3 linked regions of the Oreochromis niloticus genome follow. The protein of the gene in region 2 interacts with the protein of the main gene of each other region in a biochemical or structural test. Links are inferred from orthologs where the notes say so. Each region holds a gene or a part of one and is shown on either strand. Other genes may lie near its edges.

Region 1 (7,252 bases), on a different chromosome or scaffold from region 2:
AGACCTTTTGAGCTGGCTAGTGTATTTCTTCTTTCTTCTTAAGAATGTACCAGATTGTTGATTTGGCCACTTTTAAAAGTTTTACTCTCTCTCTAATGCTTTTATCTGGGTTTTTAAACCTAATTATAGCCTCCCTCACTTGCGCCAAAATCTCTATGGACCTGATATTGAGAGTTTGAATGAAAGGCTATCAAAGCTAAGATCAATGCCTGAAATCAACTCGAGATTCTTCACCTGCTTAGTTTGTCGTGGAATAATCAGAGAACAGGCCTCACCTGACCATGAAGCTATTTATCAATTTTCCAATTGTTTTGATCTTATGAAAATGGGGGAATATGAATAAAAATGGCTGTCATTTCTAAACAGGTAATGCACATTTTTCATTAAGCCCTTTAAATTAAAGCTGTAAGTCTACACTTATATCACATATTGATAGTTTGATTTAAAATCCACTGAAATGATGTAGAGACACAAAAAAAAGGACCTAGCTGCATTTTTGGGTGAAGCTTCCTTAAACCACTTGGAACAGTTAACACCCGTTCAGGCCAGACGGCATAGGACAATGAGCATAATTATATGTTTGAACCACACGACTCTACTGCCGGGGCCAGTTTACTTTTTTTGGTGATAAAACTTTTTTAAGATTCCATTTTTTTCAACACATCTTTGACAAATGTGTGGACAGGGCCTGTGTTGATCCTTCAGGAACACAGCTCAGAGTCAAACTGAATTCACTGTGGAGGTCAAACTCTAAAGAAAACATTTACTCGTGAGAACAGAATAAATAACAAAAGGTACTTGGAGCGCATTGTTGTACCAGCTCTGTTTGGAGTCGCTCGTTCTCCTCCTTCGCTTCCTGCAGTTGTTCGTTCAACTTTGCTAATCTCTGGTCAGCAGCCTCCCGGAGGCTTTTCTCCTCATCGTAACGGGACTTCAAATCTGTTGGATTCAGTAATGGAAAAAATAAAAACAAACAAAATTTTTTTATCAGATTTATCCGAGAAAATACTCATTCCTTGAGGCTGGGTTGAAAAAAAAAAAATCTGAATAAAGACAAATGGATTTGTAAAAGAAAAATAAATAAATAATGATGTAGACCCACAGACACAGGCCTCCCAGTTGTCCGGCCGAACACTAACCTACTATCTCTGTGGCCAGCTGGGCAGCCTTCTGCTCAAACAGGTCTTTCATCTGTTTGATGTTGAACTTCTCTGTCTCAGCTTCATTCAGCTTCCTTTCAAGTACTGAAAAACAGCATGACATATTAGCGACTGATGATCTGCTGTCTAGTTGCATGTGCACTTTAAGGGTCCTGTGATGGCTGCACTTACAGCCACACAGTGGTAATATCCACCATGTTAGTGTAGAGGCTTATAAGTAACATTGCATTCACATTTGTCTTTCTTTAAATATAGGAATTAATTTAAAGGACAATAAATAACTGGTTTTGGTTTACAATTAATTCACATATCCACATAACACTGCATTCTAAAATAAGTGCGCACATTTTAGTTTACACTGTTATGTATGATTAATCTTTTGTTTTCTGAGTTACCTTAGTTGCAGCTGTTCCAGTCCCTTGATTAAGGAGCCAAGAGGTGGAAAAGGGGCGGAGCGAGCTTTAAAGGAAAACTGCAAATTGGTTCATGCCATAACTCGGGACCATGGGGGGGGGATTGGAGTTCATTATGTTTGGTTTTGTGTGTTTTACCCCTTCTCGTGTTTTTTGTGGGCTGATCAGCTACTATTTAAGTTTCCCCTTTGTCTCGTTAAGTTAGGTCAGTTTGTTTGAGTTATCAGTAGTGTTGTCAATTTTGAGTAGAGTTCTGTTATTTTGACCTCTTTTATGGGCCCAAGATTTTGATTCTTTTTGCATGATTTAACCAATTATGTTTTTTGGGTTAAATAAAAAATCATTTCTTTGGACTTTAACTTGTGCCTAAGTCTCTTTCACTGCTCGGTCCATCACAGGTCCCCTACCTGAATCATCTGCGCTCATCTGCCCATCGTTCTGCGGACGTGAGGGAATGAGAGAAACACTCATTAGCATCATGTTTTATATTCACAAAGTCACCTCTTCATTAAAACATGTTTGTTTGTTTTTTAATCTTGAAGCATTTACCTGCTTCAGGTGTCCTTGGACTTTGTCTAACTCTTTTTTTAGCTCCCCAGAGAACCATCTTTCCTCCTAACCATGAAAAACACACTCATAAGTCAAGTTTGCAGAATCATTTACACCGCTCGCTAACAGGTACTGTTTAAACGCAGCTATACCTTGAGAGAAGCGTGCAGGTCCTGGACCTCCTGCCGCAGCATTGTGAGGTCTTCCCTAATAGAGAAAAAAATACCATGTTGATTAAAAAAAAAACAAGTAAATTAAACACTGCCACAAACATACTGAGGTCAGTCTCTACGCTTTGATCATAAATGCTAATACCCGTCTCACCTAGTGGGGGCCACGTGAGCAGGGAGCTCTCCGGTATCATGGAACAGCTCATAGTGCTTGAACAGCTCCTCTGCAGAGTTGTGAGACTTCATGCACTGAGGACAGATGAAGCCCTGCACACAGAAGCATGTCATCATTGAAATCTGCTTCAGTTAAAAAAAAACATATGACAGCAAAAACTAAAAAAACTTAAGTAGAAGTTCTCAGTTAAAAGCAAAGTGCATCCACATTACCTCAGATGTCTGATCGTGGTTAAGGTCGGTGCTGGGCTGCTCTGACTCTGCATTCTGGGACCCTCCCTTCCCGGGAGTCTGGTGAACAGTTAATAAGTCTTTTATGTTGAAGCTCAATACCTCAATGTGACAAAATTAAAAGTCCAAAACTTATAACAATGTGATCTATTGAAATCACATTGTTATAAGTATTAACAACACCATTTGTTTTAAGATTTAAAATATAACTGAGGTGACTCGTGTTTCTCTTCATCTGTAATATTTATAGTAGTTAATAATCTCTAACAAAGGCACATATCTGTCTATGTAAAGTCTTACATATTAAAGAACCTAAAGTCACATTTACCCATACATTCAATCCGTGAGTTCTTCTATGCACCTCTAAGCAAATTATCTTCATCACTTCCACAGCCAAGCTAACATTCATGTCTTTTGACTGTAGGAGGAACATGCAAACTCCACATAGAAAGGTCCCAGCCAACCAGGAGATTCAAACCCTGAATCTTCTTACTGTGTAACAGTGCTAACCAATGCATAACCTGACCATGTGGAACTAGGATTGTGTTAAGGCACTGATCTGGAGCTTCGACACTTCTTCAAGGGAAGATTTTTAGAACCCCAAGAGTCATTCTAGCCCTAACTGCTAAGGCCAAAGTAAGCTATCGGGCACCTGGGCTTCATGATAAAGAGGCAAGACAGAAGCCTTTCTAGCAAGAAACACGTGAAAGCTGCCTGGAGAAAGAAATTACCTCGACTGTGAGAAACAACATCTAACTAACCAAGAAGGAACTATTTGATCTCAATGCTAAGTGTCATGTCAGGAGCACACTTTGTAATCTGGCTAGGAAATATTTTTTACATTTCCCCATGACTGATTTTCCCTGTACAGTCCCTATCAGTGCTTCCAGCATTTCACATGTATGACGCTGTGGTGCTGGTGTGGTTATGCTTCAGTCACAGATTCGGTTTTAAAAGCAGCAATGATTTACCTAGACTACCTGCCTTTCCTGTGTTATTGCATATCAATAACTATTTGACATATGTGTTTACAAATTTTCTGTGACTTCATGAAATGTGCAAGGCTTTAGCCCACTGGCCTGAAAAACAAACACATTAGCTAGGTGTTCCGCAGGTTTTCCATTCACAAAAAGGATTTATTGGTGCAGGTGACATGAATGAAAGAAGTCAAAATTAGTGTTTGTGCAAGTTGGGCATTCAGCAAAGACTGACCCAAGCTTGTTTAAAGGCTGACAAAACACTTAAGGGTTGGGTTGCATTACGGAGCAACCTTTGACCCTAGTTCAATAAACAGTGTTAGTGTGTGTGTGTGTGTGTGTGTGTGTGTGTGTGTGTGTGTTATGTAATATTACTAGCCTCAAAAATATATACATACATTAAAAAATACACAAAATTTAATTATACTACTGGCCTTCTTCAATAATAGCAACTGCATTACCAGTGGAATTATTATTATTATACATTGTTTTGAAATGGACTGGAAATACAATATCTGTCATCTTAGTACACTTTTAAACTGCTGTTAAAACCTGTTGAAATCTCCTAAAGGTCAGGGGTGGTGTTGCAACTGTGACATGACAAAGTTATAAAATGAACTGCAATCAGTATCTTGTAGCCTGATAAGAATTTGAACCTATAAAATTACCTGAGTGTCTAATCACTCTGTAAATAAGGTGGTTCAAAAGCAACTTCTCTTATATAAAAAGGGGTGAGATGTGAACTGTCTTCTCTAAACAGAGTATGTCTCCCTTTAGTCCTATTAACCCATAATAATAGCCACAAGGTGGTGACGGTTACAAAGCTGCTACTTCTTATTTTGGCTGCTCCCTTTAGTACTTGCCATTGGGGATCATCTACCTTCATCTTACCCTAGCCATACTATCCCCCTCTGTTGCACCAACCCTCTGCATGTACTCAACATATCCAAACTATATCAGCCTTTTCTCTCTAACTTTGTCTCCAAACCACTCAACCTGGAGACCTGCAGGTTGAGTGGCCTTTTTGTCAGTCCCACTGTCTCTTATTACCATCTTATAATAGGACTTTTCAGTCTTCCTGCCATGCTTCTGTCCCAAATCAGCCCTGACACTTATCTCCACCCTGCCTGCACTTTTCTTCACCTCTCTGTTCGAGGTCTCCGGGTATGTTTAACCTCTTCTGCCTTAACAACTTCCCGTCCTTGCAGCTTCGCTGTTAATGATTACAAGGCTACAGATAATGTGTAAAAACACAAAACAACACAGTACTAAGTGCTTTAAAAATGGACCGACCTAAATAAAAACGGAATGGGTAAAGATTTTTTTTAAATCGTGATCTAACCAATGTATACAAACTAACGCGAGGAGCGATGCCTTGTGGTAAATGTAGTCTTCTAAGAAGCTAGCCAAGTAGCTGACCTCTGCTCATTACTCTCACAATTAACTTTAAAGACAAGCAGCCAGTTTAATTAACCCTGCCAGCATGAACAGTTTGGGTGTTTACTTGGTTAAAACACGTGTTTCTACGTTGTGGTCAGCCAGATGACAACACTTCCCAACACTAGTAGGTAGCTAACGTCACTGTTAGCATGTGACGAGAAGACGATGAATTAACCTACTCCTGTAACATAGCTAGCTAACGGAAAGTACGAATAGAAACTGTGTCAGTGACCAAATATATCAGCTTTTAAAGCTCTCCCATAATGGAATAAGGCTTGAGAGGTATAAAATCTAAGTATATTATAATCCACAGACTAGTTTCATTCCTGTCCACTTTAGCATGCTCGTTTTATCCAAGTTAGCATTTGATGGTTAGCTGTGTCAGCCCAACGCAAGGAGCGCTCGATGTATTCACTCCGACCTGCAGGAACTTCAGCCTACCAGTTCTCACTAGCTAAACGTAAACCCCGCCCATCAGCGATACGTTCGGTATCAAAACATTCGTCTCCACCACGAAACCAGACATAGACAGGCCTGTGTCTTCTGAGGAAAACGTCTCCAGTTGACTAAACAAAAATCGATCCTGATAATTGCTTTGTCCCCCGGATAGCTTACCATTTGCAGTATCCGTCTGAGCATAGCCTCGATTGTGTTTTGTCCCGTCAAGAAATCCTGTCAGTTTTCAAAATGCCAAGTTTACGTCTGTGAACGGCGAACACCTGACCGGACTCGGGGAACAGCAGCGACGGATGGGCGGGTCATGGAGAGGATGGCTCAGCACCAGGAGGATACACAACCTGGTGAAATTCAGGATTACACACAAGAGCCGTCATGCTCTGGAGCACTCAATAAAAATCTGTCACAATAGTAATTATCTTTAAACGGTGTTTATTTAAATATTTTCCACACAATAGAATATCCCAGTCACACATGGACGATGAGGAAAGATGTTAGATGGGCTTTCCTGCCAATGGTACCCTAGGAAGTTAAATTATGACCTTATTTGAGCTTCCCCCCCCAGGAGTTAAAGGACCATGCACAATACAACGCTTTGAAGTAGGCACCATCAAAAATAATCACATAAAGAAACAGATTTCCACGATCTACAGTTTATTTCTCCAAAAACAAACGACTCTCAGTTTGATTTTTAACTGTGCACGTTTGGGGGTTTGCTTCAGTTTCCCCCCCCCCTTCTTTGCATACTTAATTTAATTTTCCATTTCTATGCTTTGTGCTTGTGGTTGGACTGTACCATTGCCACCAGAGGGAGTAGTCTACAGCCTGGTATTAATGGTATAGTCCAAACACTAAGCCCAAACTAATCACAGGGAGAAAAAAGATGAAAAACTTACTTTTAAAAAAATATATAAATATATGATTATGTTCTGAAGCAAAAGCCTAAATGTGGACAATTAAAAAGCAACAAATAAAAACAATAATATTGACTTGTGAAGAAACTGGATTAAAGTTTAAAGCAAAGCATCAAATAGAATCAGATGACCATAATTCCTGTCATACTTTTCGGTCCATGTTTCCCAGCGGAACATAAATTCAGTCACTGTGCACCCTCGGTCGTAAAAGCAAACCCACATTTTTCTTCTGTCCTATGGAGCCCAGCTTCCAAAAACTGGGTTGTTTTGACAGCATGTATAAGGCTTGATTTGTTCTGTTCATTTACTTTGTGTTTGTGAAGGCACTTAATGGGAGACTTTGTGCAGGATTTGTCAGAGTCTTCTAAGGCATTTCTGCAGATACACTATATAAAACATTTGCTTAATACACTAGATTATAGTTTTTCTGAGGATATGTGCCATTTCTTGTTTGATTCAGTTCACTATATAGAAGTTTTTCTCTAATTTACTCAGTTTTCACTCACATTGAGAGCATTCAAATATATACACACATGATTTAAGGCTTGTTCAGTGTCACTAGTGCTTAGAGATGATACTGTGTGCGCTGAGGAAGTAATAACAATGCCGTCCACACTTGTTGCAGACTTTACCTCATCTCTTTTAGCAAAATTCCTCACAAACTTCCCAAGGTAGCAGTTTGTAAAGTCCATCGACAGACTTGCAGCTACTCTTTTTCAAACATCTTGCAGAGGCACATTGTTTGGCACTGAGTCACTGTGGGAATAA
Region 2 (7,347 bases):
CTGGAAGCAGCTGACAGGCTTGCAATCAGAGACTCCTTGTTACACTGATAGAGACCTTCGCACATCTTAAGCAGCATCTGACGGATGCTGTGATGGCATCCCTAATGGGTACTGCAAACCTCCACAGGGAAGTGGGTCAGGGAACGAGAGACAGTGGGACATAGGTCAGAGGGGGAGGAGAAAAGGCAGGAAAAAGCAACAGACGAGAGGGAGAGGCTGTGAAATATTTATTGTGGCCCCCTTGTATGTTCTGCTGCTGGCATAATATCCAAGAACTTAGTGATTGCGGTTTATTGCAATCTAAATTGGAGAATGCATGCACAAATGAAATACGTTTAAACAGTCAAAGAAGTAATGAAAACATTTTTTTAATTGCTTTTGCTCCGTGAACAAACTCTAGGTATCGTTAAACATTAGTTATACTGAAAAATTAAGCAGAAAGATCAGGTTACCAGCTGCTATGACCAGTTTACAAGTGTTTTTGTGACTGCTAGATTTGAAGATTTTGTATTGTTGTACTAGTGCATCATCGAGGCTCTTCTTATGCAGAAAACAAGGTGTCACCTAACACCCTAACACCATTTCTCAGAAGACCATATTTGCAGAAGGAAAATAACAGGATTAATCCTCCATTCCTGGTCACACAATTAAAAATGACATTTTGTAATTAATAAATTTTGGTTTGCTTGGACAGTATGATCTTCAGACTAGATTTTAATAAAAGAAAATCACTTTCACATTCAATTTATAAACTAGATTAACAACCTGCCACCAAAACACTGTAATTAAGAAGGCAAGCAGAGACATGTGCAGTTCACTTTATTTGAAGGGTGGGGTCGTGCAAAAATGGTATCTGATGAGGGGCTGCATGACCATACTTTTGTCTTTTGATTATAATCTCATCTGCTTGTACAGATGGCTGTGTCCAAATTTGCATGGACACATGAGCATATATTAAAGGCCTATCTATTGCCGCCAAAGGTAATAGTTTGTCCTAGGTTGTAAACAAAGATTGAAAAGCAGCGCCATACTTGGGAACTCGAAAGAAACAGGAAATGCTCTGAATCCAAGATAGGTTCTTTTACAGTTTGGGGGGGTTAAAAACAAAGAATAGCTTTGGCATTGTGATTTTAGATGGGAATGTGTGGACACAATACAGGAAAAGCAAACACCACACTCATCACGAGCATCACTGGCACTTTCCCCCCCTATTGTGATGAATGAGTGAAAACCTTAGTCACTAAGCCTAAAATCAGCATTAGCCAGAGGTCAGATCTTTACCTACCAAAATTATAGCAATAAGAAAAAAGAAAGCTCTCTTAAAATCTAACTGAAATGAAAAATACAATCATATCTGTATGGATGGTCAGATGGATCCCAAACTGAGACCTTTTATCTCATCAAATTGTTTAAAACAGACTTTGTCCCCTTTATGACTTCAAATGATTTTAAGTGAATTGTTAAATAATGGGATTTGATATTTGATCCTTTACACAGATTTACTCAAAAATGGAGTCTAGTTGATTGAGTGACACTTAGTAGATCCAGCTGTCCGTTTAACTACAACAACTTACAACTTTAAAGGCAATGCCAAAACATAGCACCCAAATGTTATCCATACTAGTGTTCAACTAATTTGCAGTCCTCCTTTATTTTAGGGCTGGGTTGTCAAAAAGAGTGGCTGTTTAAGAAGGACAAGGTCCACATGCCATAAACATGAGAGCTCAGGCAAGCAACTGTAAATCACATCTTTGTCTCAAAGGCCAAGCTCCGTTCCCCTTATTAAGCCATAAACATACACTGTGAAGATACACAGCATACAAAAAAAGTATTTGCTGTTAAATGCAAGAAGACACACGTGCAGGCACATAACAACCCCAACGATGCAATATGCGGATGTTACACCACAAAGTCAGCAGTAATGACATTTTAATGATGAGAAGGCACTGCCATAAATACAACTTCAGAGGTAAGCAAGAGACTATGTACGCACATTTACTCTGTCACACTATGTGATGCACAAATGCAACTGATAATAAAAAGCACAAGATTGTGAAAAGAGATTACAGCTGCCTTGATAGTACATCTAATTTAGAGAACATAAGACGACTGTGATGTGCCTCGACTGAGCCTAGACCTCGCACATAAAACCAGTTATTAAACACTTAACCGGTGGCAGGAACGTAACATATTAAGTTAGTTAATCTACAACTAATATTTCAAAGTAAGTGAGAAGTTTTGCTCGGTCGACGCCGGGTTAAGCACAATGATAAGGCAACTTAAACTGTAAAGGTAAGGCTTGCTTCAAAACAATCGATAAAATAACTATCAAACAACAATGCACCTGTCTTGGCTAAAACGGTACGTTACATTTAGGTGCGATAAGGAACCGCTATCATTAACGTAGACGACACAACTGTAACTTGTGAGTTCCACTAAGCACTTGGCTAACAAAATTAACGCTGACTACACAACGTGAAAGAATCAACCTTGTTGCTTACTTGGCAATAGCACCCATTTGCTAGCCTAAACTGACAAAGAAAACAAAGGCTATGTTCTTGGCAAGGAAACTTGACTTCTGATAGCATTAGCTGTGTTAGCAGCTATGGCCAAAAGTCGAAAGCGTCATTAGACAACTTTCCTTTTCTCGGCCCTGTGTCGTCAGCCGTCTGACGTTTGAGAAACTCCGGGACTTCTTATTGCGTCCACTTGCTGGCATGAAACGATGTCATATTTTTCTAAGCAACCTCAGGGCTCTGCCGTGGCATTAATATTTTTTTCAATATTTAGAATGTTTGTCCCACAGGGCAGCTCGTAGCTCCCCTCGATCCACTCTGATAAGGCATTTCGGTTGAGCCCGGACTTGGCTGATATGCTAAGCAGAAAAAAATAATAATAACAAAATAGATCAAACTATAGTAAACAGTTTGTCGACAAAATAATCCAACACACGTTCAGTATTGCTCTTCACCAACATGACTCTTAATTTCAAGTTGTTTTACTTACATTACTTTTTCTTCCTTCGCTGGTCTCATCGGCAGCAGCTGTCTTCTTCTTCTTCTTCTTGGGCTCCGGCCTTCCCTTCCGGTTAGCAATTTTTCCGGGAACCTCCCACTTTTTGTCAGTGGCTTTCTGACCAATGAGGACAGCGGGTTACGCTAGACCCTCCAGTCCGCAGCACGGCATTTTTATCAAGGTTTTATAATATCTAGTCATAAATAACATCTTAAATGATGTTAATTTGAATATAATTATAATATAATGATATGGTGTTTATGAAAATTATGTACACTGACAATAAAACTTGTGCTTTTCAAATGGCGTGAAAATTTGTAACAAATTTTGTTTAGCGTAATATTTTTAATAAGCTTGGGATAAGCTTGGAAGCTGCTTTCATAAAGAAGGATCCTTTTTAAATTTTTACTAATATTTTTAATGATCCTTGTGATGTCTCCAATGTCGAACTGTATGTATGATTTTCATCTTCCTTTGGCTTCTTCATTTAGGGGTCGCCACATCATCTGCCGCCACATCACCCTATCCCTAGCATCCTCCTCTGTCACACTAATCCTCTGCATATCTTTCTTCACTACATGAATCTTCTCCTGTGGGCTTCATTTTCTCCTCCTGCCTGGCAGCTCAGTGTTTGCCCAGTATATCCACTATCCTCTTCTATATATGTCCAAAACATCCTTGCCTCTTTAACTTTGTATCCAAGCCACTTAATCTAAGCTGTCCTTCTGATATACTCATTTCTAATTTTGTCCATCCTGGTTACAACCCAATGAATATCTTTGCATCTTCAGTTCTGCCACCCCCAGCTCAACCTCATGCCTTTTTGTAAGTGCCACCATCTCCAAACACTAACATCTTGTAAATGTTTCCTTTCACTTTTGTTGCTATCCTTCTGTCACAAATCACCTGTCACTCATTTCCACCCACTCTAACCTGCCTACTCATTTTTCTTCACCACTAATGGGCACTGTTCATTGTTAAACTCACCAACTTTCACTATCTCTTCTTGCATCTTTACATGTTCAAAACAAAAGATTAATTAATAGTGAAAGAATGGCCTTCTTTGCTTGGACTAATGACACAAAATCTTACATGATGCCCCTCAGTATATTATTAATTTCAGAATTGTTGTTAAATGCTAAAGAGTCACATGGACATAAATATATCTGCCATGATACTACCAATGAATAACAATATCAAGGTTTTTCAGCAGTCTGTAGAAAATGTCATTGCTATATGCCAGGTTGGTTGGACCAAGATTGGTCAAATATGATTAACATGTTTCAGGAATATTTTACATCATTCTACAGGTCAAAAGCTTGGTTGTGGCTCCAAAAGGCCATATCTGACTCAGATCAGTTATTTTGAGCTCAGTGTGACGAAATGTCAGTCTTGTGTTTGTTGTAGTAACGACATATCACCACTCAGGGGTGCTGCCCATCCACTTGTGGCTTCTAAGTCAACCCTGGAAACATTTTGTGGATGAATACAGCAGTGACAATTCACTTGATAGAAAAAAATAAATAAACAAATAAAATGAATAACTAGTCAAACAATTTTGCATTGAATGCTTGAGTGAGAGTGTATGGCTTGAAAATAAGATTGCTTCAGCTATGATATATGCAGACCATGCCTTAATCTCAACCAGAATTCACAAACATTATTAATGCCAGATAAAAACACAAGAACCATCAGTGGAAAAAAAGGTTTATTCTGTAGTGGCAGTTGGATTCCAATAGTTGATTGAGAATTTGGCTAAATAACAATTTATTAATTTCAAACTTCACACCAGATTTCTTGGTAAGGTACTCTAAACATTACATCAGCTTTGTTATTTACTCACTGATAGCATAACCAGATAGGGATGTCATCAGTGTGGCCTTTCTTTCATATCAAGAATGCTGTCCCCTGTGGAATGAGACTCCATGGTCTCTGTCCTCTCTTTATACAGTGAAGCTTTGCAGTCCATGTTTGGTACTTGCTCCATCAGAGAACTTGCCAGGTCCTGTGTTTGGTGGACAGGACTGGATCCTACTGGATCATTCTGTCTGGAGCCTTCGACAGTACCTCGCTGGTCCTCGTATCCTGTGTATATCAAAGTGTGGGCTCTTGATGGCGTCAAAGAGCTGAAGGCAGTGTGATACTGTGGTTGGGCTGAAGGAGTGGTGGATAAATGGATAGGTGTCTGGGATTTGGTCTGATTATGTAAAGAATCCGAGTTGGTTTGAACACTTAGGGGTGGCTGGGAGTAGCCACAGTTTACCGTAGAACATAAGGAGTGGGTGCTGCTTATTGTGTGGATTTGTGCACTACTAACCATGTGTGAGGCCTGACAACTTAATGGGTAGCCACTGAAGGCAGAACTGATGCCCAGGAGGGATGGACCTCCATGGGCATGAGAGAAGGTCATGTAGGGAGAGCCTGGAGATGTTCTGGGTGTTTGGAAAGGGCTAGAGAAGCACTGAAGCCTTTGAGTTGTGTCTCTGTCAGAGCAGCCCAGGTGTGAACAGGATGGCATTGTGCTTGACGAGTACAGCAAGGCGGAACTTGTGCACTGGGAGGGTATTCCACTGGAGTGCCATGTATTTCTAGCAGGATGGCTAATCATTTCATGAACAGTTGGTAACCCAGTGGAGATATTTAAAGGGACATCCGGTTGCCAGTGGCTACACGTTGTCACACTTGGGTTGGGGAGCACCTGAGTGCCACATGAACATGTGGAAGCTGGAGAGTTATTGTGGAGCATTGTCATATGAGAATGCAGAAAATGCATTATGTCATGGAGTTCCTTGGCAAGGTTGGAAACATCTTGGTTTAAGTTAATTACCTGAAAGAGTGAGAAAAATTGACTTTTTATTCAAAACTGTTAACTGTTTATTAGTAACTGTTATCATGTTAAGTTGATATGAATTCAAGCTGTAACTGATTAGATTTTCTTGTTCAAAGGTAAAGGTTACTGTGTCCTCACAAAACACATTTGGGCATATTTCAAGGAGCAGCGCTTTTGCCTAATAAGGGAACATACCTCTTTGCTCAGTTTGCTGACGCTCTGTCTCATTTCTTCTGTCTCAAGAAGCAGGTTACAGACGTGTAACCGATCTGAAAGAGGATTATTTTTTAAAAAGTGAGAAACTCATCTAATCTGTCCCGACTTTGGGTTATATTTAATGTCTAGTCCTTAATAGAAAGGCTTATATTTACAATTTCTCATTAATCATGCAGTTTTCAGACACTTTACCTGCAACATTAGTCTTTGCCTCGCTCTGTTCCATATTAAACTGAAATGTGTGATCATTATCCTCAATTCCATCCACGACCCTGACAGTAAGACAAATGGGTGTTATATTCATTTAAATATATGCAAACAGATTATTGATATTTGACCAAAGGAGAATGAATAGGTCACCTGGGACTGAGGTTCAGAGGACTAATACAAGAACCAGATGGCATGAGTTTGGCAGGCCGATGGTTCAAGTCTAGGTCACTGGTAAGACTGGGTAAAGGAGATGGAGAGAGCTCCTCACTGAAAAAAGGTTGTGGGGAAGGACTACAACCCCTGCTTCCCTGAGCAGGCAATCGGCAGAGCTGCAGTGCGCTGATGTGCCGGAGCTCCTCGCCTAGCAACGTGCTGAGGCAGGGTTGATGGACAGGGCTGCCCATACTCTGTAGTAAAGGCAGTCTCCGGTGCTGAGAGTAATTTACGTTGTCTGTGTGTTTTGCATCAGCTCCCTGAATGATATAGGGTAGTTTATGATCCATAAACTGAGGAGAAAACAGATGGAAAACTCAATGAAGCTGATTGCAAAGATTTGTGCATGCTTTTTGGTTGGGTAATAGATTTGTTTGCTACAAAAATTCTTAGTCTAGTGATCTTGATAGTGTCAGAAATACTTCTCTTGTAGGATAGTTTTAATTAAGCTTAGTGTTTTTTCTTGATGACTAGAGTGTAGAAACCATATATAGTGTATGCTGTTTGCTTCATTTCTCTCTGTTACCTAGCAGCAACTGGAGCATTGTTATCTCAGCTATAAAAAAAGGCATTTTAAGTGTTTTCATATCTACATGACATTTATCAAGAGTTCTAAGTTTTCAAATGCAATGCAAGGCTGACTAATCCTTTAAGCTAAGACAGATTTAGCTGACGCCTGTATCAAGCATGTCAAGGCTAAATTAATCATCCTAATGAGGCAGACATACCTGAGACTGCCTGGGTGTCAGCTGAAACCGTGTTACTCCCTAAAGGTATGGAGGTGAAAATGAACAAAGCATTACACTCACATTGTAAACTGAACATGTAAAGTGTCGCGTATAGCATAGGTATGTTTGTACACC
Region 3 (7,615 bases), on a different chromosome or scaffold from region 2:
CACTTCCTACACATGATGGACCCACAGAGGCGACAGTGGTGCCGTCTGTTACGTATGTTGAACTTGTTTCCGCAGTCGGGACAAAACGGTACGTCTGAATCATTCACCCATGACACTACAGACTTCTCAATGGCTACAAAGAGGGATAAATTCTTATTATTTAAAATATTATATAAAGCACAGTTACATATGTAAAGAATATTCAGAATTATAATGAAAACTAACCTCTGATCTTAGCAGCATCTGAGTTGGCTCTGTCAAATGATGTCAGCTAAAACATCATAGTTTATGGTAAATGAGTTGCAAATTTATAAAAAAAAAAAAAAAATTGTCTAAATGAGGTAATGTAAGCAAACCTTTTCCAGTCTAATGATGAGCTTGTTGACCTCAATGACATAATGATCTATCCTGGCTGCCCGGTGCTTTTTAAACAAGTCCAGATGACTTCTAGTTACTCCTAAAAAGCAAAAGAAAAATATATTTCTTTAGTGTCTTGCATTAACAAATATTGTTGGTTAGCAGTGCTACAGATGACAGTTTTTGCAGTCTCACCCAATTCCTGAGGCTCCCACATGTATGGGTCCACTCCACCATAGTAGAAGGACTCATAACTGCCAGTATCCGGTCTGTCGTCCCCATCCCTCTTCAGCAGTTTATCTTTGGCTTTCTTTGCTTTCTGAACCAAACCTGAAAACAGTGAGACAATATCATGAAAATTGAAACAGTGTGTGAATGTATCCTGAATCTGTTATTCTTATGCTGATCCAGAGTTAATATTTATAATGACCACATTTTCAGTTTATTCATCCATCTTTCAACATGCGATTGTTGTAATCATGTTTTTCTATTTTCAAGTTCATTACAGTACTATTAATATGCAAATGTAGCCAACCTGCACATGCATCCTTCCAGCCTTTTCCTAATTCAATCATAATCCTATTATGTAGAAAGTTGCAGCAGCCAACACAGACTGCAAATTCAGCCTGACAGCAATTTCCTACAATCCAGTACAGCAGTATTCTTATACTCAACTGCACTGTTTAAAGGCGACCAATTATACTTCCTCTTTTATATGTAAATTGTGTGTACATATATATATATATATCCCCTACAAGCCACAAGATCAGACTGTAGACATTTTTTTCTACTCTTGGCTCTGTATGATGTAAATGAGAAGTACTTAATATGTTCATCTGCAGCACACAGCTCCTGTAGTGACCATATAAGACTCATCCACACTCTTAGGGGAAACTAAGCTTAAATTCTTCACTTCTAAAGGATAAACTTCAAGCTGACACAAGACCCAGTATAAGATAAACAAGAATACATTTAACTTGTGACTAGTCACACTAGCAGGGTCCACAAATAAAAATACTAAACTAAAAATGAATAATAATAGGTTTCCTTTCAAAAGCCCTTTTTTTTCCCAGACTAGACAGTACAATGTACGATTTTTGTGTCTTTAGAACACAACAGGAGTAAATTAGCCCTGTAGCAAAGAGTAAAACACAGAATCTGCTACTAACTTTTTAGCTGTCCCCGAACATGGCGGTCATCTCCAGAGTGCTCCTCTTCATAGTGGTCTTGGAGTTGGTAGAATGACTGAAGGTCCTTTAGGCACAGTGGGCAAAGAAAACCCTCCTTTACTTCACCTGTGCCCTCAAAGGGGGGCGGGTAGCTGGAGGCCATGACAACAAGCGTCAGTGCTGCTGCAGAGGGGATGCAAAGTGGCACGTTCTCACTTTGGGCCACATCTCATGGGGTGTGCAACCTACCCCACAGTAGCTCCATAATGCCTGAGAAAATCCCAGGACACTGAGGAATGAGAAAAGTACACTGAGGCCACATACAATACTGAACAAAAGACTTGAGCCACCCATCATTTATTTATATTTTGCAATGTAAAAACGTAGTTTGTACAATTCTAACAAGCTTGTAAGTCAATATTTGCTATGACCAATACAGGTCATAGCAATACAGGATGAACTCTCTTAGGCAAACGTTCTTTTAATTTTTTCGGTCATCTTCGGGAATTGTTCTCCACGCCTCTTGAAAGAAATTCAAGGCTCTTCTTTGTATGTTGGCTGTCTTTTGTTCTATTCTCTGTCAAAATTACCCCACACTGCTTCAATAATGTTTATGTCCAAGTTCTTCAGAGGCAAATCCATGATTGACAGTGTGTTTTTCTATCCAGGTATGCTTTTACTGCATTAGAGGTGTGTGTTTGGGATCACTGTCATCTCGAAAAATGAAGCCACTGCCAATCACACGCTTTCCAGATTCTATTGCATGGTGGCTCAGAATCTGGTGATGCTTTTTTGAGTTCATGATTCATTCCATTTTGCCAACGTCCCCAACACAGCTGGCTGAAATGCAGCCCATAATCATGGTTGTAGACGCTATTATACCTCTCCGTGGGACTCCTCCATATAAAATAATGATTTGATTCAGAACCAAAACCGCTACTCTGAGAAGAGAGAATGTTTGTATGCTTGAATGATCCATAAGTGTTAACTCAATTTTAAGCTGCTTAAAAAACAAAAATACATTCCTCTGAGAATGGTCAGGTACAAGGACTGGACTGAAAATTAATTTTAAAAAGCATTAAAAGATCTTCAGAAAGCGTGTAGGACCATTGCTCAAGACCACTTAAAAAATACATTAAAGTCCGGCTCATTGGATGAAAAATATAAAGGAATGAAGTGTGGCGCAATACTTACACACAGTATTGAACATCTAAAAAAATTAATACATTAATTAATACATAAATTTAAGGTAACAATATTGATTAGAATACTATTATGCACATTCAGATAAATTACTATTCCAACTGCATTATAATAGCTAAACTTAGCTTAAGTCGACCCACGTATTTAGCGGAAAAAAAACGCTTAACCGGACGGGAAGTATTAGGTTCCCTAGCTGCATACGAGAGGTGTTTCACTAAGTGATAGCTGGATACGAGCCATGAAAGGACTTACCTTTATTGTTTATTATTTAGGCTAACTTTGGGCGCCGTTATACCACACAGAGGATGTGGTGTTAGCAGGAGAAAGCTAGCAGCTGCTCTCGCCTTCTTTAGCAATCGTTTCTCCCCTCTCGCTGTTCAAAAACGCTACATTAACAAACTTCCAACTGCACAAAAGCAAACAAATACCTACTGACTATTGGACGCGATAAAAAATCTGCACTTAGCCTACAATTGAGCCTGACAGTAGCTGTGTTATTGACAGTTTGCGTTTTCACTGACAGAAGCACAACAGCGCCAGCAGCCCTGCCTGGTCATGTGACTGACATCCAGTCGGTATGGAAGGAGAGGAGGGACAAAACTTGATTTTGCGGTTGGCGCTCCATCAGGAAACTTCTCCGCAATGTAAGTACATATTTGTTATATCCAACTTTTGGTTGTTTGTCTTTTGTGCAAACCTGCACTGCTACCGTAAATAAACCGTTTTTTAACTCTAACAACAGTTTGTTATTCCCGATGGAGGGGGTTGGGAAAAATTCAAGGCTGGATAACTAAGGGTGTGTTTTTTTGTGGTTGGGATGTGTGGTTGGGTTTGGCCAGCTTCATTAACTGCAACTAAGAGCCTTAAGGTAAATCCAGCTGTATTATGTAACCCTAGAACCTTCATTTGATCCAGTTTCAGTTTGTATAAGCTATAGGTCCCTAGTTTTATCCTACAGCCTTTTTTCACTCGTTTAAAACACAGTTTAAAGGCTACTTGGACTGTGCACTTAGCTGACTGGCATTTATTGACAAGAGGGTACAAAGCAATCCACGGAGAATAGGTGAATAGTATGGACTCCCATCTCAGTTTCGACCTGTCTCATGGGCTTCACAAAATGATATACTGTGCAAATATTAATTTTTGATTTTCTTTTTCAAGAGAATATTATTTAATATTCTTTTCAAGCATTTATTTCTTTTTTAATGAAATAATAATTTATTTAGTTAAATTACTCATTATCACTGTTGGCACCAAGAGCACAGCCTGTCCTGGTGGCTCACAAGCTGTTTTATTGGAAAGGCTCATAAACAAAAAATGATGCAATCACTAATACAACAGAATCTCTAAAATGTGTTTCAGCGCGTGTATGTCCTACACAACCAAAAGAAAGTCCAAAGCCACACTTTCTTTTCTGGTGCTCTAAAATAGCCTTTGTGTGAATTGTTCATCTATATATATATATATATATATCGCTCATTATATAATAAACACTTTGCCAGTCCACTGACACTTGGCTATTCCGCTAGAGTTGTGAGTGTGTGCGCTCAATTCGGCGAAACATCTCCAATATTAGGTCTCCATCGTTAACTCACATGCTTCATGAATAATTTGCATATTGATCAGGCTGGTGGACAGCTGCTCCCAAGGCTCTGATGGAATGAGCCCAATTAAGCTGGGGAGTGGATATCTGACACACTCTGCCTGTTATTAAACTGCATAAATCATTCTCTAAGAGGCTTAGGCAGGGTGACTACTTTGGACTACATACTAATTAGGCTTGTGTTGAATCAACAGTTTAATGGTGCACCATGAGGCATTGCATTTACTGGAACTAAAGCAAACCATACGTTTTTACCAATGCGTTTATTGTCCAACAAAAACATTGGTGGTTGACTTTAAGGCAAGGGCAGCTTTTAATTTACAACATTAGCTTCAAATTACGTAAACCATGCAGTAATGTAGAAAAATAAGCAGTGACACAATTTATTTGCTGTGATATTCATTATATTTTACATGAGTAGAAAATAATGAAACGCAAATCGAACAGAGGAGGGAGCTTTTATGTGTAAACATAGACACTTTAATTTGATCTTAATACAAGCTGAACTGACGAGCGCCTGTTGCCTCACAGAGGCAACATCGCTAAAACCATCTGACTAATGTTTTAATCATCTGCCTCAATGTAAGAATCAATAATCTCGTCAACTGAATGAATGCTATTAATAACGATAGCTATTAAAAGATCAACATATGGCACAAACTCTTCTGAAAGAAAAAAAACGTCTGTACAGCTATATAGTTATTCCAAAGTTTGGATGGCAATTACGCATGAGCTCTCCAAGAAAATGTCAGACAAATGGCTTGCGGTAATGATGTCTCAAATGTCTTCAAAAGAACAAGCGGTGGCACAAAAGGTTTAATGATCTTTTTTTCATTTTTTATAATTCATTGTGGTCATTTAATTTATACATTTATTTGTTTACAATACAGCGAAATACGCACTCCTGTCTAATCTACTCTCCATCCACTAAATCCTCATCCGGTGCAAACCTTTTACCCGGGTGTTGTCTCTTCTCCTCGGCGTGGCCCTTGTTAACGTTGTCTAAAAAGTCGAGCAGCAGGCTGGTCTTGCTGCAGCTCGCAGGGTCCAAAACGTCACACGGACTGTTTGTGCCTAAATCCGCACTCGAGTTATCCCAAAACCGTTTCCCAGGGTGCTGACGCTTTTCCATCTCAGCGAGGTCTTCTTCTCCATCCGCGTCCGCATCCCAGTCCCTGTCGCCGTCCTCATCCTCTAGAAGACGCTTACCTGGGTGCTGGCGTTTGCTGTGCAGCACCAGGTAACGCTTGCCTGGGTGTTGCCGTTTTGAAAGTTCACTGAGCAGGAGGATGGGGTTGTCAGAACTGTGACCCGCCGTGGAGCGCTTTCCCGGGTGCTGCCTTTTCTGCGGCTCTAGGAAAGAGTGCGTTTCATCTTCGCGCTTGCCCGGGTGCTGTCTCTTTTGAACATCAAAGTACTGTTCATCCTCGTCCTCTTCTCTCCTTCCTGGATGCTGCCGCTTCTCCAAATCATCACTATATCTCTTACCAGGGTGCTGTCGTTTTGTCACCCATTCTGGCTGAGAGTAATACCCGTCTGGAAGAAAACAAGAGAGGAAAGTAGCTCTTAAATGTTTCAGAAGTCACTGATTAAATCCCGGTTTCTCTCTACCGCGTGCGCAGATAGTCGAAATCCTGTTTCTTTGATTTTTTTTTTTTTTTTAATTATAAAGGAGACATATTCTCTTGCATTCCCGATGTTAACTGTTTATCAATTACTTAAACAAAAATGTTGCTCCAAGTGATTTAACCTGAAAAGTGCGCACGAAACTGTAAACTACTGAGAATGTGATGCAACTTTCAGGTACATCTAAGATATACCCGAAGTATCAGTATCGTATGAAATAAGATTTTATGACAAGTTTCTTAACTCAGAAAATAATTTTTTAACATGTGTTTTACGCACCATTTCTTCCGTCTTCATCCTGCAGCTTTTTGAGAATGGACCGTAACAGAAGAGTCTCTGCTCTCTCTAAAATAATGTCGTCTATGGTCTTTCGGTCAGTCTCATCCTCAGCAGACATGCTCTGCCCTCCAGACACCATCAAGTTGCAGACCGTTAGAGATGCAAGGATAAGCAGACATGTCGACTTCATGGTAATTTAGTTTTTCGTCTGAAACAGATCACGTTAGATAGGAAATATTAAAGAAAAACAATATTAACGTGGGTGAACTGGTTTGTTGTCTACTTTGCACCACTGTATTTAAGTCAATGTTGGGACCAGACGTTTCGTTTTTGAATAGAAATGAGACTTTTTTAAAAGTACAATTTTTATTTTTATTTTTTATCTTGAGAAATCCAGTTTTAGCAAAGCTGCTAACCAAGCCTTTGAGGCTTTGAGATCGCAGCAGCTTTTGAAGATTGGTTTTACAAAGAAATCTAAGAGAACTCTAAAGACTCACCAAATAAATATGAATAAAACATGATGCATGAGATCTATCCAGATCAGTTAAAGAACAACCCTTAACCAGCAGACATATTTACATTTCCAATGAGAGTAGTCTAAAAGCCTCACCTGGTAAAATATTGTCCTTTCCCCAGTTTCTGGCACTATCGGCAGTGATAATAGTTGCTTTCAGTCGCTCGCAGCAGTTGGTGACCTTAAAGGCCAAGTCTAGAGGTATGAGCAGATAACTTTCCGTCCCGGCATTTATACGATACGGTCACTGTCGTCACACCAACACTGGAGTAATTTTTCAGGATCCCTCGTCCCTATTGATGTCACCAAGTCGTGCGCAACTGGATATGGTGAATGGTCGGCCAATAGGAGCTTCTGCTCAATATATATATATATATATATATATGTATATATATATGTGTGTGTGTGTGTGTGTGTGTGTGTGTGTGTGTGAGTGTGTTCAGTGAAATGTAAACAAAAACAACAATAACAGCAAAAAACAAACAATGACAGAGACTAACAGAAGGTAGGATTTGTGTGAGATTTATGTGATGAATATATGAAAATAAAATAACTTTATTTTTAAAATTTGCGAAATTCAGTTGAGTGTAATGCACTAGTTTATAATATATATACGTCTCTGTGTGTATTCCGTGCTTTTTTCATTTTATTTTAGTATGTACTGTTTTTACTGCTACTCTTAGATGATTACAAAAATGGTCAGTATCTTATCATAAAATGTGGACATCTCCTATGGTGTGCCAACGAGGGCTGTAGCGAGATGTGGGCTATTCATGCTTTTCTTAAATACCCTTAGGTCATGGGGCTCAGGAGGGTGGGCTCACCCCATCTGGTTCTTCTGAGCACATACTGTATAGCCTAATG

What was found.
Region 1: the proteins of rab5c (region 2) and eea1 form a complex in vitro, tested with the Homo sapiens proteins (2 studies listed by BioGRID and IntAct, with this or other methods). The link is inferred for Oreochromis niloticus from reciprocal best matches to the Homo sapiens genes RAB5C and EEA1.
Region 3: the proteins of rab5c (region 2) and rbsn form a complex in vitro, tested with the Homo sapiens proteins (2 studies listed by BioGRID and IntAct, with this or other methods). The link is inferred for Oreochromis niloticus from reciprocal best matches to the Homo sapiens genes RAB5C and RBSN.

Annotation. Positions count from the first base shown.
Region 1 is NC_031972.2:57,279,225-57,286,476, forward strand, and holds the start of eea1 (early endosome antigen 1), read right to left. Parts: upstream 3,122-7,252; 5' UTR 3,107-3,121; coding exon 3,026-3,106; intron 2,758-3,025; coding exon 2,680-2,757; intron 2,560-2,679; coding exon 2,447-2,559; intron 2,330-2,446; coding exon 2,275-2,329; intron 2,189-2,274; coding exon 2,123-2,188; intron 2,012-2,122; coding exon 1,981-2,011; intron 1,955-1,980; exon of another isoform or gene 1,556-1,954; intron 1,245-1,555; coding exon 1,140-1,244; intron 940-1,139; coding exon 818-939; intron 1-817. UniProt on the Homo sapiens protein: Binds phospholipid vesicles containing phosphatidylinositol 3-phosphate and participates in endosomal trafficking.
Region 2 is NC_031969.2:26,577,452-26,584,798, reverse strand, and holds the start of rab5c (ras-related protein Rab-5C), read right to left. Parts: upstream 3,147-7,347; 5' UTR 3,007-3,146; intron 1-3,006. Other genes in the region: kcnh4a (potassium voltage-gated channel subfamily H member 4a), read right to left, coding at 4,886-5,842, 6,041-6,114, 6,254-6,333, 6,422-6,777, 7,213-7,251. UniProt on the Homo sapiens protein: The small GTPases Rab are key regulators of intracellular membrane trafficking, from the formation of transport vesicles to their fusion with membranes.
Region 3 is NC_031984.2:14,555,191-14,562,805, reverse strand, and holds the start of rbsn (rabenosyn-5), read right to left. Parts: upstream 3,122-7,615; 5' UTR 2,982-3,121; intron 1,816-2,981; 5' UTR 1,690-1,815; coding exon 1,527-1,689; intron 688-1,526; coding exon 553-687; intron 458-552; coding exon 357-457; intron 272-356; coding exon 226-271; intron 134-225; coding exon 1-133. Other genes in the region: trh (pro-thyrotropin-releasing hormone), read right to left, coding at 5,246-5,868, 6,238-6,427. UniProt on the Homo sapiens protein: Rab4/Rab5 effector protein acting in early endocytic membrane fusion and membrane trafficking of recycling endosomes. Required for endosome fusion either homotypically or with clathrin coated vesicles.